3 linked regions of the Drosophila melanogaster genome follow. The protein of the gene in region 3 interacts with the protein of the main gene of each other region in a pairwise test. Each region holds a gene or a part of one and is shown on either strand. Other genes may lie near its edges.

Region 1 (3,381 bases), on a different chromosome or scaffold from region 3:
CACATCCGTTGGATAGCCCAACCTGACCGATGCAAATGCGAATCAACGTCTGAGAGCTGCGATGGGTGGCGGGCTCTTATTTATGGGAAGAAAACAAAACAAATCCAATCAAATCGAAATTGCAAAGACAAACGTAAAATAAAAAAAATAAAAAAAGGCACAAACACAGATGCTCGGCATTAGCAAATAATAGGGATTTGTGGGCGGAGCGGTGGGCGGTGGGTGGTGGGTGGATAACAAAAATAGCTTGAAACTAATCGCCGTCGCAGCTGTAGAAAACAAAGCAAATGCAAAAGTCAATAGACAGTAGACAGTAGACAGTAGCGAAATACAAACGACATTATTAAATTCCCCCGTAAAGTCGTGAAGTGGAAGCCACCCAGCCATCCGATTTGACTTATCGCGACCCCAGTGCGACCCGACATACTCATCACATAACCGCCTACCAACTACCGGCAGCTGTCCCAAGTGATCCGACTCGCTTTGGATGCTTCCTCGACTTGGTGATGGAGATGGTGCTGGAGATCTTGGTCCCAGGCGGCTAATTAAAACGTACCACCTTATTAAATGTCTCGGGGACTTGGGCTTAAGATCACTGTTTCAATTTTTAGAGCTTGAAACTATTCTTCCTGTACTTCCATGCTAATGCTAATGCATTTAACTGAGGCTTTATTTAACTTACTGCAATTTTGTGGCCTAGTAAAATATACATCTGTGTATACCCTCAAAATGAAAAGGCAGAACCTTTTACTGCCTATTTCTGTTTCTACTAGTAAGTAGTAATGAAAGTATAAATCAAACAATTGGTGTCAAGCGTGGCCGTGCTAACAGCTCTAATGCTAATTCTGCTTTTTGCACCTTACGGCAATTTTTAAAGTGCTTGATTAGTGATTATTTAGTCACGTGTGTCTAGTAGGCAACGTACGTCGATTTTGTCAAAGCTTAAAAGGTTGGAAATGAGTCATACGCGTACAACAAATCTTTATACTAATTCGGAAAACCTCAGTTCTTAACAAACAAATAAGTAGGTTATTTTACGCAGGCCAATTTTCGAATACTTTTTTTTTTAGGATCGTTTTAAGATGCGCTGAGTTTACAACGATTTATCAAGTGACCTGGCACAAAAGAGATAAACGCACGTTATCAGCAGACGCAGACTGTCTACAGGAATGTGCCCTTTTGCAACCCCAAATAGACGTCATCTTATCGTCATCTTCGGCATTAAACTGCAAACCCAGAAATGGCACTCCGAGTTCCAAGAAGTGATATCTAAAAAAAGGGAAACAAACGGAAAACAAAAGATCAGTGCCACACACACCTTATCAACAGCAGGATACAAAGGGAGTTGGACAAATGAGGCCGCAAAACACTTTTCGAATAGAGGCCAATTGAACAAGAGTAGCCCAAAATCCATATATGTATATATATATATGACTTTTACAAAAGGCGGCGACATTGAAAAACACAGCAGATAATAGATTTGAAAGAGGAACAAACACGAATTGAATGAACCCAGACAATCGATGGGCGCGCATTTCGCCACCTACTGATCCGGAAAAACTCGGATTGTATTGTATCTGAAATTCAAAAGATCCCAGCTGAACGCACGCAAGAATAAACATGACCAGTAGATAGGGATGCCCAACGGGTGGGCTTACAAGTAGGTAAGTGGGATGGGTTGGGTTTTGGGTTTGGGTTTGGGTATGGGATTGGGTGGCATGTACGCGTGCGCAGGCAAATCGAGCGGGTTTATGATCTTGTTTTCGTTTTGCAAAAAGAAAATTCGTCGTCGATTTGTGTAAACAAAGTTATAAAAGTTGTGGGGGGATTACGAAGAGCGGCAGATAAGGCTTTCGCCATATAAGCTAGTGTACCAATCCACAGGACAGCATTCAATCGAGAGTCTTCGAGTAGAACACACATAGCATAACCATAGCATATCATACCATACAATGGAGCACCATCAGATCTATCGCCACAAAAAGTTCGACATGGGTCGAAAGATTGAGAAATGCGATTTGCAGCTGAAGGAAGAGCTAATCTCCCGGAGCGGCACACCCTGCACCAGTCGGAGTCCTTTCGATGCGGCAAATCAGTCCGTCAGCTTGGGTTTCAGTGATCAGGATGCTGACTTTCCTCCACTGCCAAAGCGTCGTCGTTTGGGATCCTCATCCTCAAGCGTTTCCTACCAATCCGCCAGCCCCATCATAACCGAGGCCATCCAAGACATCTTCAAGTACCACGTCAATATGGTGCGAAAATTCCCGAAGAAGGAGCGTTCACCGAAGGATCAGGAGCGCCGCAACAAGAACACAATTGCCTGCAGGATGAGTCGACGGAAGAAGAAGTTCGATGACCTGCAGATCGAACAGCAGTACAAGGAGTGCTCCGATGAGCACCTCAAGATCGCCGAACAGAGTCTGCGTGCCAGGGTCTATTTGAATCATCTGAAGCAGCTGGTCAAGCAGGAAGACCACCCGCTAGTATCCTCAAGGAGAGTTCCGGAGGAGAATACCAAGAGTAACTTTAGCATCGACTACCTGATAGGTGGTATTAAACAGGAGCATGCTTAGATACGTCCATCTCCTTTTAGGATTGTATTATATAGTTATTATATTAATGCTAAGTTGTTAAGTTTCTTCAAGAACTTTTAGTGCTAAGAAATTTAGTATATATTTAGTATAAATGCCTTAAAAGGTTAAGCAGGAACTTCTTAATAAATAAAATATGAGGATTTAATTTTTACGGCTAATTGATTTTTTATCGTGTGCTTGACTTTTAATCTTCCTTCTAAAAATGGTATAAATATTAATTTATGACATTGGCAGAAAAAGTAATCAAGCGCTAATGAAGCAATGAATATATTAAAAATATATATAAATAAATTTAATAAAATATAATAAAGCGTGGAGCCATCGAAATAAATCCCAATTAATCCCCAGGGGTAGTTCGCGTGGTGTCACAGGCAATCATCAGCCCCTGGAGCAAATCGTTATTGGTGACCCCATCGACTATTGCCTCCCCCCATGGAGAATATCAAGCCAGTCGGATAAAGTTCACTGGGTATTAACCCTGCACCCTGGTCAAACCACTGGCAATAGAGCCGTAAACCGATTGAAACCGCAGCTACGGGAATGTGGGCTTAAATAATAACTACTCCTATTCCCGTCCATCGCTCAGCTGTCATTGTCGCACTTAAAGTTAAACTAAACACTTTAGCTATTAGTAGCTACGATATTTTCAAATACATTGTAATCGAATTGGTCACGCTAAAGGCTTTCATTTGCATAACCCCTAATCCCTGTGGAAAATTTCAACGTATTAATAGGAATGGCAAGTGCTATAGTGTTTCCATTATTTTAATCCGATTAGGTTCCATAA
Region 2 (3,545 bases), 320 kb from region 3:
TCTAGAGTATGAAGACGCGGAGACGAAAATGAAGAAAGCCCCATATGATATTTACAATCGGGAACTGGAGATTTACGAGCAAGTGTTACCAAAATTGCAGGAACTAGCCGGCGAGCAACTATGTCCTAAAATACTACACATCGATCGTCAAAGAGGAGCACTCATAATGGAAGATCTGAGCTACAAGGGATTTGTGATGGCCCCGAGACTTCAGAGATTGGATGAGCAGCATGTGAGTTTGGTTCTTAGGAAGTTGGCCAAAATGCAGGCAGCATCAGCGGTTTTGGAGAACAATCTTTTGGAAAATAACTTCTCTCTCACTGAATACGATAAAGGCTTCTTCAATAGGTATACAGAAAGCTTTAGTGCCTACTTTCTGGGCTGCCTCAAGTCCTGTGCCAATTACCTTAAAACTCAGGCGGGTTATGAACACCACGCAAAACTATTAGACGAACTGGCTCCCTATTATATGGGACTAGGACTCCGCTGTTTTAAGCAAGAGCAAACGCACATTAATGTCCTTACCCACGGCGACTTGTGGACAAACAACATGATGTTCAAATACGAGGCGGGCGTGCCGAGCGATGTCCTTCTGATTGACTTTCAGTACGCCTTCTGGGGTTCGCCCACCCTGGACATCCATCATCTGCTCAACACGTCGGCTGTGGAGCAAGTGCGGAGTGAGCTGCAAATGAAGATGAGAGGTGTCTATCACGATGTCTTCGTGGGGGAGCTGCAGAGACTTGGCTTCAAAGGTCAAAGGTTGCCCAGTCGAAAGCAGTTTCACCTGGAGTCAGAGCAAAAACGATTTTACGGTGGGTAAACTTAATTTCTAAGAGATTAGCAAATGAATATGCAAACAAAATATATATACTTCCAAGTCTTTCGTACTTTTTTTTTTTTTTGAAATAAATAAAGTGATAATCTATATTCCTTAAGCCGTTCATTGTGGCCTGCTGCTGCTACCTGTGCTGCTAAACACCGATGAAACTGATGCGGATTTCGCCGCCCTACTTTCGGATCAGCCGCGTGGAATGGATATGAAAAGGCGGCTGTATCTCAACCCTGGCATCCAGGACTCTATTAAGCAAATGGTGAAGCATTTCGAGCTGGAAGGGCTCCTGGATCCGTGGCAATACGAAGGCCTCTGAAGCTGGTGGAAGCGGATTTTCCGCTTTTTTCATAAACTCCCCCATTAGACATTTCAATTAGACGAGCTAATAAACATAAAACATGGCAGCCACAGCCGCAGGCATTTTAAAGCCAGCCGTCAGAGGCTTTTGAATTATGAACCGAGTTGGTACTCGTGGAAAAATATAAGGAGAAAAAGGCCGAAACGAAAATACATTCAGTTGGCCTAGACAAAAGCGCAACACATTTAGCTGCTGCGAAATGGAAAAATGGAAGGTCGGAGGCGACGAATGGAAGGGCGAGGATAGTTACACACATTTTTTTGAATTGTTTAGCATTTTGAATGAGTGAATGAATGGAAGCCATGCAAAGCTGTGAGTGCGTGTCTGCCGCAGAAAATGAGTCTGAAAAGAAATGGAAAATGTGAATTTTGATGTGGATAAACGAAAAGTCGGACTAAATGGGGTATTCTGCGCGTGCTCCTGGCCTTTGCTTAATTAAAACTTTGGCGCGAAATGGTGGGCCAAGCTGTTGGAAAATCACCAAATTATGACGTGTCTGCCGCTGGCGTTGCTTTATTCACAACTGCATTAAAGCTGAGTGCAATTAGGCTAAGCTATGCCATTTAGCCCGGCCTGCGCCAAAAACTAGGCAACCGTTTATTATACTTAATGGAGGAAGAGGAAAAACAGAGGTAATTTCTATAAGAAAAAAAAGAACGGAGCTGATTCAAAAATATAAATTTTTAAATTTTCTATACAAGATACCATTTTGCGGCTTTTACCTTAATTTAAGGTCGTTTTTGTAATGCAAACAAAAAAAAAATCGACTGGCATTTAGAAAGCCGGCGGCGTTACACAATTTTGATTGACAATTAGATACATACATTAAATTCTCATTTGTGCAAAATGGCCGCCCAGGTAAGTCAGGTGCAGCGGTTCTTCAACGGCTACAAGCAGGACATTAACCGATCACTGCGCGATGCGTCCAAGCCGTGGACCAAAGCCTTTGATAGCCTGGAAGAGAAGACCGGTGTGGAGAGGGTGAATATTTTCGTGGGTAGTATTTTGTTTTGCGCTTTCTACCTGGTCTTTGGCTGGTGCGCTCAGCTATTGTGCAACATCATTGGGGTTCTTTACCCTGCTTACATTTCCATCCATGGCATCGAGTCCAGTACGAAGCAGGACGACATCAGGTGGCTGATCTACTGGGTCACTTTTGGCATCTTCACTGTGATTGAATTCTATCCAAGTCTGCTAACTTCGATGATTCCCTTCTACTGGCTGTTGAAGTGTACTTTCCTCATCTGGTGCATGCTGCCCACCGAACGGAATGGTTCTACCCTTATCTACCACAAGCTGGTCCGACCATACTTCCTGAAGCTTCACGATCCCGTCGACATGATGTCCGCTGGAGTGCCAAAGGACGACTAGGACAAACATTTGCGTTAACTCCATGCATTTGGTTTACGGTCTGCAAAACAACCTCACCTCGTATCGGATACATTTCGCAATAAATTTTAATGATGTATTCATTTTGTTGTTGGAAGGAGCACCAGTGGTCGCTGAATCCTAAAAAATCTATCCTGGTTAAAGGTAAAAATGAAATCTCACCACTTGCGCGGCTGCTTTTGTGGACTCGAATTTAAACTCGAAGAGGTATTCCGGCTCAGAACGGCACTTCCATCCTTTAAGTGACATTCGAAAAGAAATTATATATTTTGGAAGTTTCACAGTGATAATGTATGGGGAAAATCTGAATAAAAGTCTAGAAAGTCTATGCCTAATGCAAGCCATTTACCGATTGTGTGCCATTTTGTAGGTGTGCTTGTGTGTGTGTACCTCCTTGTGTGTATGAGTTTGATATCTCACTGAGAGACGTCCTCGAATGCGAAATAAATGTTGCGCGTAAAAAGCATCCCGATGCCACACATATTTTGTCGCTGCTCATTGTTCTTTTTCCGGTTCTTACTCGAGTCAATTTCAGCTTTTTTTTATGTGCCAGTGCATGTTTGTCAAATATATTTACAGAATAATAAACATGCTGGAAAAATGGCAAGTTATGCAACTCGAAAGAATGCATCAATAACATTTGAAATATTTTACATTGCGTTATAATAATTTTTAATAAATATTGTTTTGCATATTTTGAACTTATCACTTAAATTGCTTTCAATATTTTATTCGCTTACATGAATACTCACTTGAAAAAGGTGCAAATATGGTTTATATTTAATGGAACCGTGAGTACTAACTGGATAGCATAGTTTTTTCACTATTGCCTTTAGTTAAATTTTGCAATGTGTAATGTTTTTTTTAAATGAAAATACGAGCTTGTTGCATTTTCCTCACTTTAAAATGCCAGCATGTAAACATGCTGAATTTTTTATAGAAACTGTTTTTACGTTTAACCCA
Region 3 (5,072 bases):
TTGCTGACCGCCGTATCAATTGATAACCGCTTTTCCGCTGAGTAATTGTGTTCCCTAGAAATTCCCAGACAAAAACAAATCAAATATGTTTTATTTTTGGCAATCCAATAGCATACACTGAACGTAAAAGTGTTGACAAACAAATGTGTTCGCCGCACGATCATTAACCGCAGAATTGAAATACAATCTGCGGTTTTTGAAGTGTTTAGCCAGCAATATTGTGGTTTATTTTTATCACGACATAGCTATTTTTGGAGTAATTAGGCACAATTATTTTAATACTAAAGGACAGATAATAAAATTTGTCACTTAAAATGCCATTATCAATTAAAAATAAAACAATAAATATGTCAACGGCAAGATGGTTGTGTTTAGGCTATTTCGGTACAGTTTATTTTCGTCTATTTCTAATCAGTTGAATTATTCGTGTTGTTCGGGCTATACTCGTTAGATTTGATTACGCACTTTTATTTAACGGGCGTCTTGATAGGATGGACAGCCCACATAATAACGACCACGTTTATGGAACTTTTGCATTGACGCAAAAGAGTGGCCACGCCCCTACACTTCATGGCAATTAAATGGCACTTTGGGTGCAGAAATTTAAGGGCGGAAAAAATGCAAATGGCCAGACATGTGCGTGATGCTTTTATGGTCGTGTTCCTTTTGTTTTACGCGGCGTACACGTGTCGGCAATTGAAATAGAAAAGCGACCATGGCCCAGACACCCACGAGCCCATTAAAATCACACATAAAGAACATGGCAAAATCGGGGGGAAGCGGTTCCGCAAGGGGGCCTCCAACGAGCGTCGTTGTCGTTGTCTCATGTGTTATGCTAATTTCTCTTTTATTGTTCGCTGCTCGGATTTTGCTGCCATTTACGACAGCAGCAGACGATTAAAGCCAAACCGGAAGTCAGCCATCGTTCCCCGTTTACCGTTAGTGTCGCAGGCGGCTGCGCCGGCAACAGCCAAAGGCCATTGAATTGCCTTTTCATTACGAAAACAGCGCGAAAGGTCGCTCGGAAAATGTATCTGTCAAGACAGTGGGTCTTCGAGCAGAAAAAATATATGCATATTGTACAGCAAGACCTCGCAATGTCGAACGTTAGTACAGAGCTTTCATTTAGGGTTTTAAAATTGTACAAAAATAAATGAATCTTTTATTATTTTAAACAACACTTCTTATATTATTTATATCTATTTTTTATGGTTTAAGAATCTCCCCCGTACTCTGTGTATATATATATAGCAACCCGTCAGCGCAAACACAACTCATTGAAACTCACAGCCATCGCGCAGAGGGAGAGGAAGCAAAAGCAATCGGCCGTAACAAAATTTCCGACACGTGCGACAAAATTGCCTTCTATTGCGACGGGGAGGGGGGTGGAAGTGGGAGGTGATGGCCTGGCCCGAGGGTCCGGATTTAGGCAACCAGAAAGGCACGACCAAAACAAACCCGAACCAAACGCAAAGCAGCTCTCCCCTGGGATTCCCCATTTTCGGGGCGTGTTGCTGGCAACAATGTTGCGGCAACATTTTTCGATTGATTGAGATGCGTTGGCGACTTTTGAATGCGAATGTGTGTCAACAGTTTTTCACTGATGCTATAAATAATTTTATTTTGGTGGATGCTCGAGCATGAGTGTGTGCAAATAAATGATTTGAACCGTTTTCTGTAGATAAGGCCAGCTATAGTAATTTGTTGATTACTCTGCGAGTAAAGTCAACTTATTATTTCGTTGCTTATCGGCTAAATTTGCTAAATTTAGAACTTAGAACTAATTTAATGTTAAATATGGTTTTAAGAATTTAATATGTTTGATTAAAAATATGATCTAACCAAAAATAAATTTATTTTTCTTTTTTTTTTTTTTTAATAATTTCCTAACACATTTGGCCACTTTTGTGGGGTGCGCAGTGAGTGCCCGCTGAGCTACTATTAAAACGACGCTCGTTCGTCGGACCGCGTTCATTCTGCTTTGGGCGGTCGAGGTGTTCGTCTCGCAGTTTGGTCAAAAAACTGGAAAAGCTACGAGAGCTTTGTATTTCGCGCTGAACACGAGCGTTTACGTATTTTGCAGTCGCACTCGAGTATTCGCATATCCGTGTTTGTTGTTTGCCAGCGCGCGTGTGTGCCACTGTGTGTGTGTGTGTGTGTGTGCGTGTGAGTGAGTGTAGCTGTGTGTAGTGGTGTGACGGCCACACGCGCAACGAAAGCGAAAGTTTTGTTTGGCGCGCGTGTTGCCATTGGCGTCTGCGAATTTGCACACACACGTTCCCTTACCTAGAATAGATTAAAAGCGTGTGAAAACAAATACGAAAAAATACAGAAAATAAGAAGAAAAGATAATGTTCATTATTCCCAATGAGGGTGCATTAAATTAAGGGTATCTAGAGCGGAAGAAACACGACATCAACATCATTCCCGCAGCGTCTGGGTAAGTCGGCAGGTCTCGCGAAAAGGTTTGCCATAAATCTCCCGGCATTAGCATCAGCATTTGTGTGCCACACGTGCGGTGCTAAATAATAATACAAAGCCAAAAAAAAAAAAAAAAACACAAAATTGCACTTGACAGCCGACTTCCGATGCTGAAAGCTCTCCTGCCAACTAGAGAGGTTGTCCTCCTGTTCTCTGTATTTTTTTTTTTGCATCCCCCCTGAATTTCCTTTCCCCGTATAGGCGAGATTTTTTCAAGCTTCGTGCCTCACCTTCTGAAGGACGAATTTAGGTCAGGATCCGTGGGCCTTATCACATGACTCATGGCGTGTCCTTTGGCATTTGGGCTTCCTTGTGCTGCGCTTGCATCTGCATTTCGGCGGGCCACATGGCGTATGCGCAATATTGATTTCTTAAGCTCACTAACTGTGACCTTTAAAGCTCGTACTTAAAGTAATTTACAAATTACGAAACAAACTTATGTTAACCAGATTTAAATACGGCTTACTATTAAAATTAAAAAAAAAATAAATGCTCTCTGCGACTGTTTTATTATATACCTCAAATACTCGCGGGAAATATAAAGCATAAAGTTCGAATAATGTTTTGGGCTTCAGGGACTTTCAATGTTTACATATATTGCCAGACGCACTCAATTTTCGCAAGGGAAACAAAGTGTAACTTAAAGAAAACAAAACTTTAACATGTTGATGTGTTAGCCCTTTATTTGTTTCTGTGCTGTCGAATTCCAAGAACTAAGATAAAAAAGTACTTCCTTCCTTTACGTAAATATGTTTTGGTTTTACATCAGCCATTAAGAGTTCGGTCAAATCGTGTGAAATATTCTTGAAATAAGCACAAAGTAATCATAGAGCTTTGTCTGCGATTTGAAAGAAGAGAAAAGTAGGGAGATTTTTCTGGGCCACTTTTGCAGCTGGTTTTTACGGCGTACTAAAAGAAGCGATGGCTCAGCTAAAGTGAATCAAGCTCAAGCTGTGATCCACAATCGACAGCTGTTTGTTTATTTATTTTTTTTACTCACTCTGAAGACTTTGTATTTGCCTAACTACGATTACTTCAAGTCAGTGAGAAACAGTGCAACGAAATGAGCTTAAGTTCTGGGTATTATTATTATCTTCGGTTCATTGGCACTATTGAACCCATTTATTCTGGGCGTATTTCCAACCGGAAATTGCTTTAGGCAGTCGTGGACATTAAACAGGTACCGAGCATATCTATATCTCTGATAGGTAACTCTTGCGCGTGTTTCGGGGGGGCCGCTCCATTCATGACACCCCATGACGCCCATAATCGTAGATTTATCATTTTTGCTCGAGCGCGCGCGTTCCGCATTACAGCAACAAACAAAGCAGTAAAAAATTGGAAAAAATATTAGCCCCATCCGATATATAAATATAAACAAGCAACAACACGGGCGAAGGCAAAAAGAAAAAATAAATAAAAGACAACAAAATATATATGTAGAGCTGATATGCGGATCGTCAGCTTTGGCCCCAAATGTGGAGAAAAGAGAGCGCGAGTTACCACCCCACCCCCTAAACCCCCACGCCTCTAAACAAATCATCGGACACTCAACCGGGAAGACGGCAACTGGAACACCGCATCCGGCCGAATGCTGACATTCCGGCCGAATGCTGACATTACACAAAAGTCGCACTGCAACATTGTCCCCAGCTAGCCAGCCACATGCCGAGTCGGCATGTTCATTATGCTTACAATTAAGAACCTATGTACTTATGTATAAGACGAAAACGGAGGACTCGAGTAGCCACTCTCTGACAATAAACTTCATACTGATTTTGAACTTCAAGAAAGTCAGTCGTATTCTTTATTGGAAATCTTCACACTACAACTATCTGCTGAAACTTAAAAACCTTCATACATTTACACATCATATCTTCACAAAAGGCTCCACCCTCGATCACGGACTTAACTGGCGCAGCCGGTAGGATGTCCTACCTATTAATAATTACCTACCTGTAAGTAAACATGTAAGAAACGAAACAAACTATATGCAAGATGTCGACTGAAAGTGACTAGGAACAAATTTTTATAAAACAAAATTGAAGTTGTGAAGTACCAAATGAAACTCAAACATATATTCAAACACAGGAAAAAAAAAGAGAGAGGAAAAATGTAAAATAAATAAATATACAAAAAAAAAGTGCAAGTGTACCGTACTGCCGCGCTGACGTGGAATCTATCGCTGATCATCACGCCATCGGTATGTCCATACTCTGCCGAACGTCATAATTTTTTTAAAAAAGTGCAAGTGTACCGTACTGCCGCACTGACGTGGAATCTATCGCTGATCATCACGCCATCGGTATGTCCATACTCTGCCGAACGTCATAATTTTTATAAAAAAGTGCAAGTGTACCGTACTGCCGCGCTGACGTGGAATCTATCGCTGATCATCACGCCATCGGTATGTCCATACTCTGCCAAACGTCATAATTTTTATAAAAAAGTGCAAGTGTACCGTACTGCCGCGCTGACGTGGAATCTATCGCTGATCATCACGCCATCGGTATGTCCATACTCTGCCAAACGTCATAATTTTTATAAAAAAAGTGCAAGTGTACCGTACTGCTGCGCTGACGTGGAATCTA

Evidence for each region.
Region 1: the proteins of Cipc (region 3) and Mabi interact in a two-hybrid assay, tested with the Drosophila melanogaster proteins (one large-scale study listed by BioGRID).
Region 2: the proteins of Cipc (region 3) and CG4960 interact in a two-hybrid assay, tested with the Drosophila melanogaster proteins (one large-scale study listed by BioGRID).

The regions. Positions count from the first base shown.
Region 1 is NT_033779.5:13,233,167-13,236,547, reverse strand, and holds Mabi (mabiki), read left to right. Parts: upstream 1-1,887; 5' UTR 1,888-1,952; coding exon 1,953-2,573; 3' UTR 2,574-2,750; downstream 2,751-3,381. UniProt on the Drosophila melanogaster protein: Plays a role in inducing apoptosis and is involved in the repair of head patterning defects in the embryo caused by extra maternal copies of the homeotic gene bicoid.
Region 2 is NT_033777.3:25,785,717-25,789,261, reverse strand, and holds CG4960 (uncharacterized protein), read left to right. Parts: upstream 1-1,963; 5' UTR 1,964-2,039; coding exon 2,040-2,564; 3' UTR 2,565-2,933; downstream 2,934-3,545. Other genes in the region: CG31380 (uncharacterized protein), read left to right, coding at 1-815, 940-1,151.
Region 3 is NT_033777.3:26,104,903-26,109,974, forward strand, and holds the start of Cipc (clock interacting protein circadian), read left to right. Parts: upstream 1-1,965; 5' UTR 1,966-2,440; intron 2,441-2,682; 5' UTR 2,683-3,975; intron 3,976-5,072.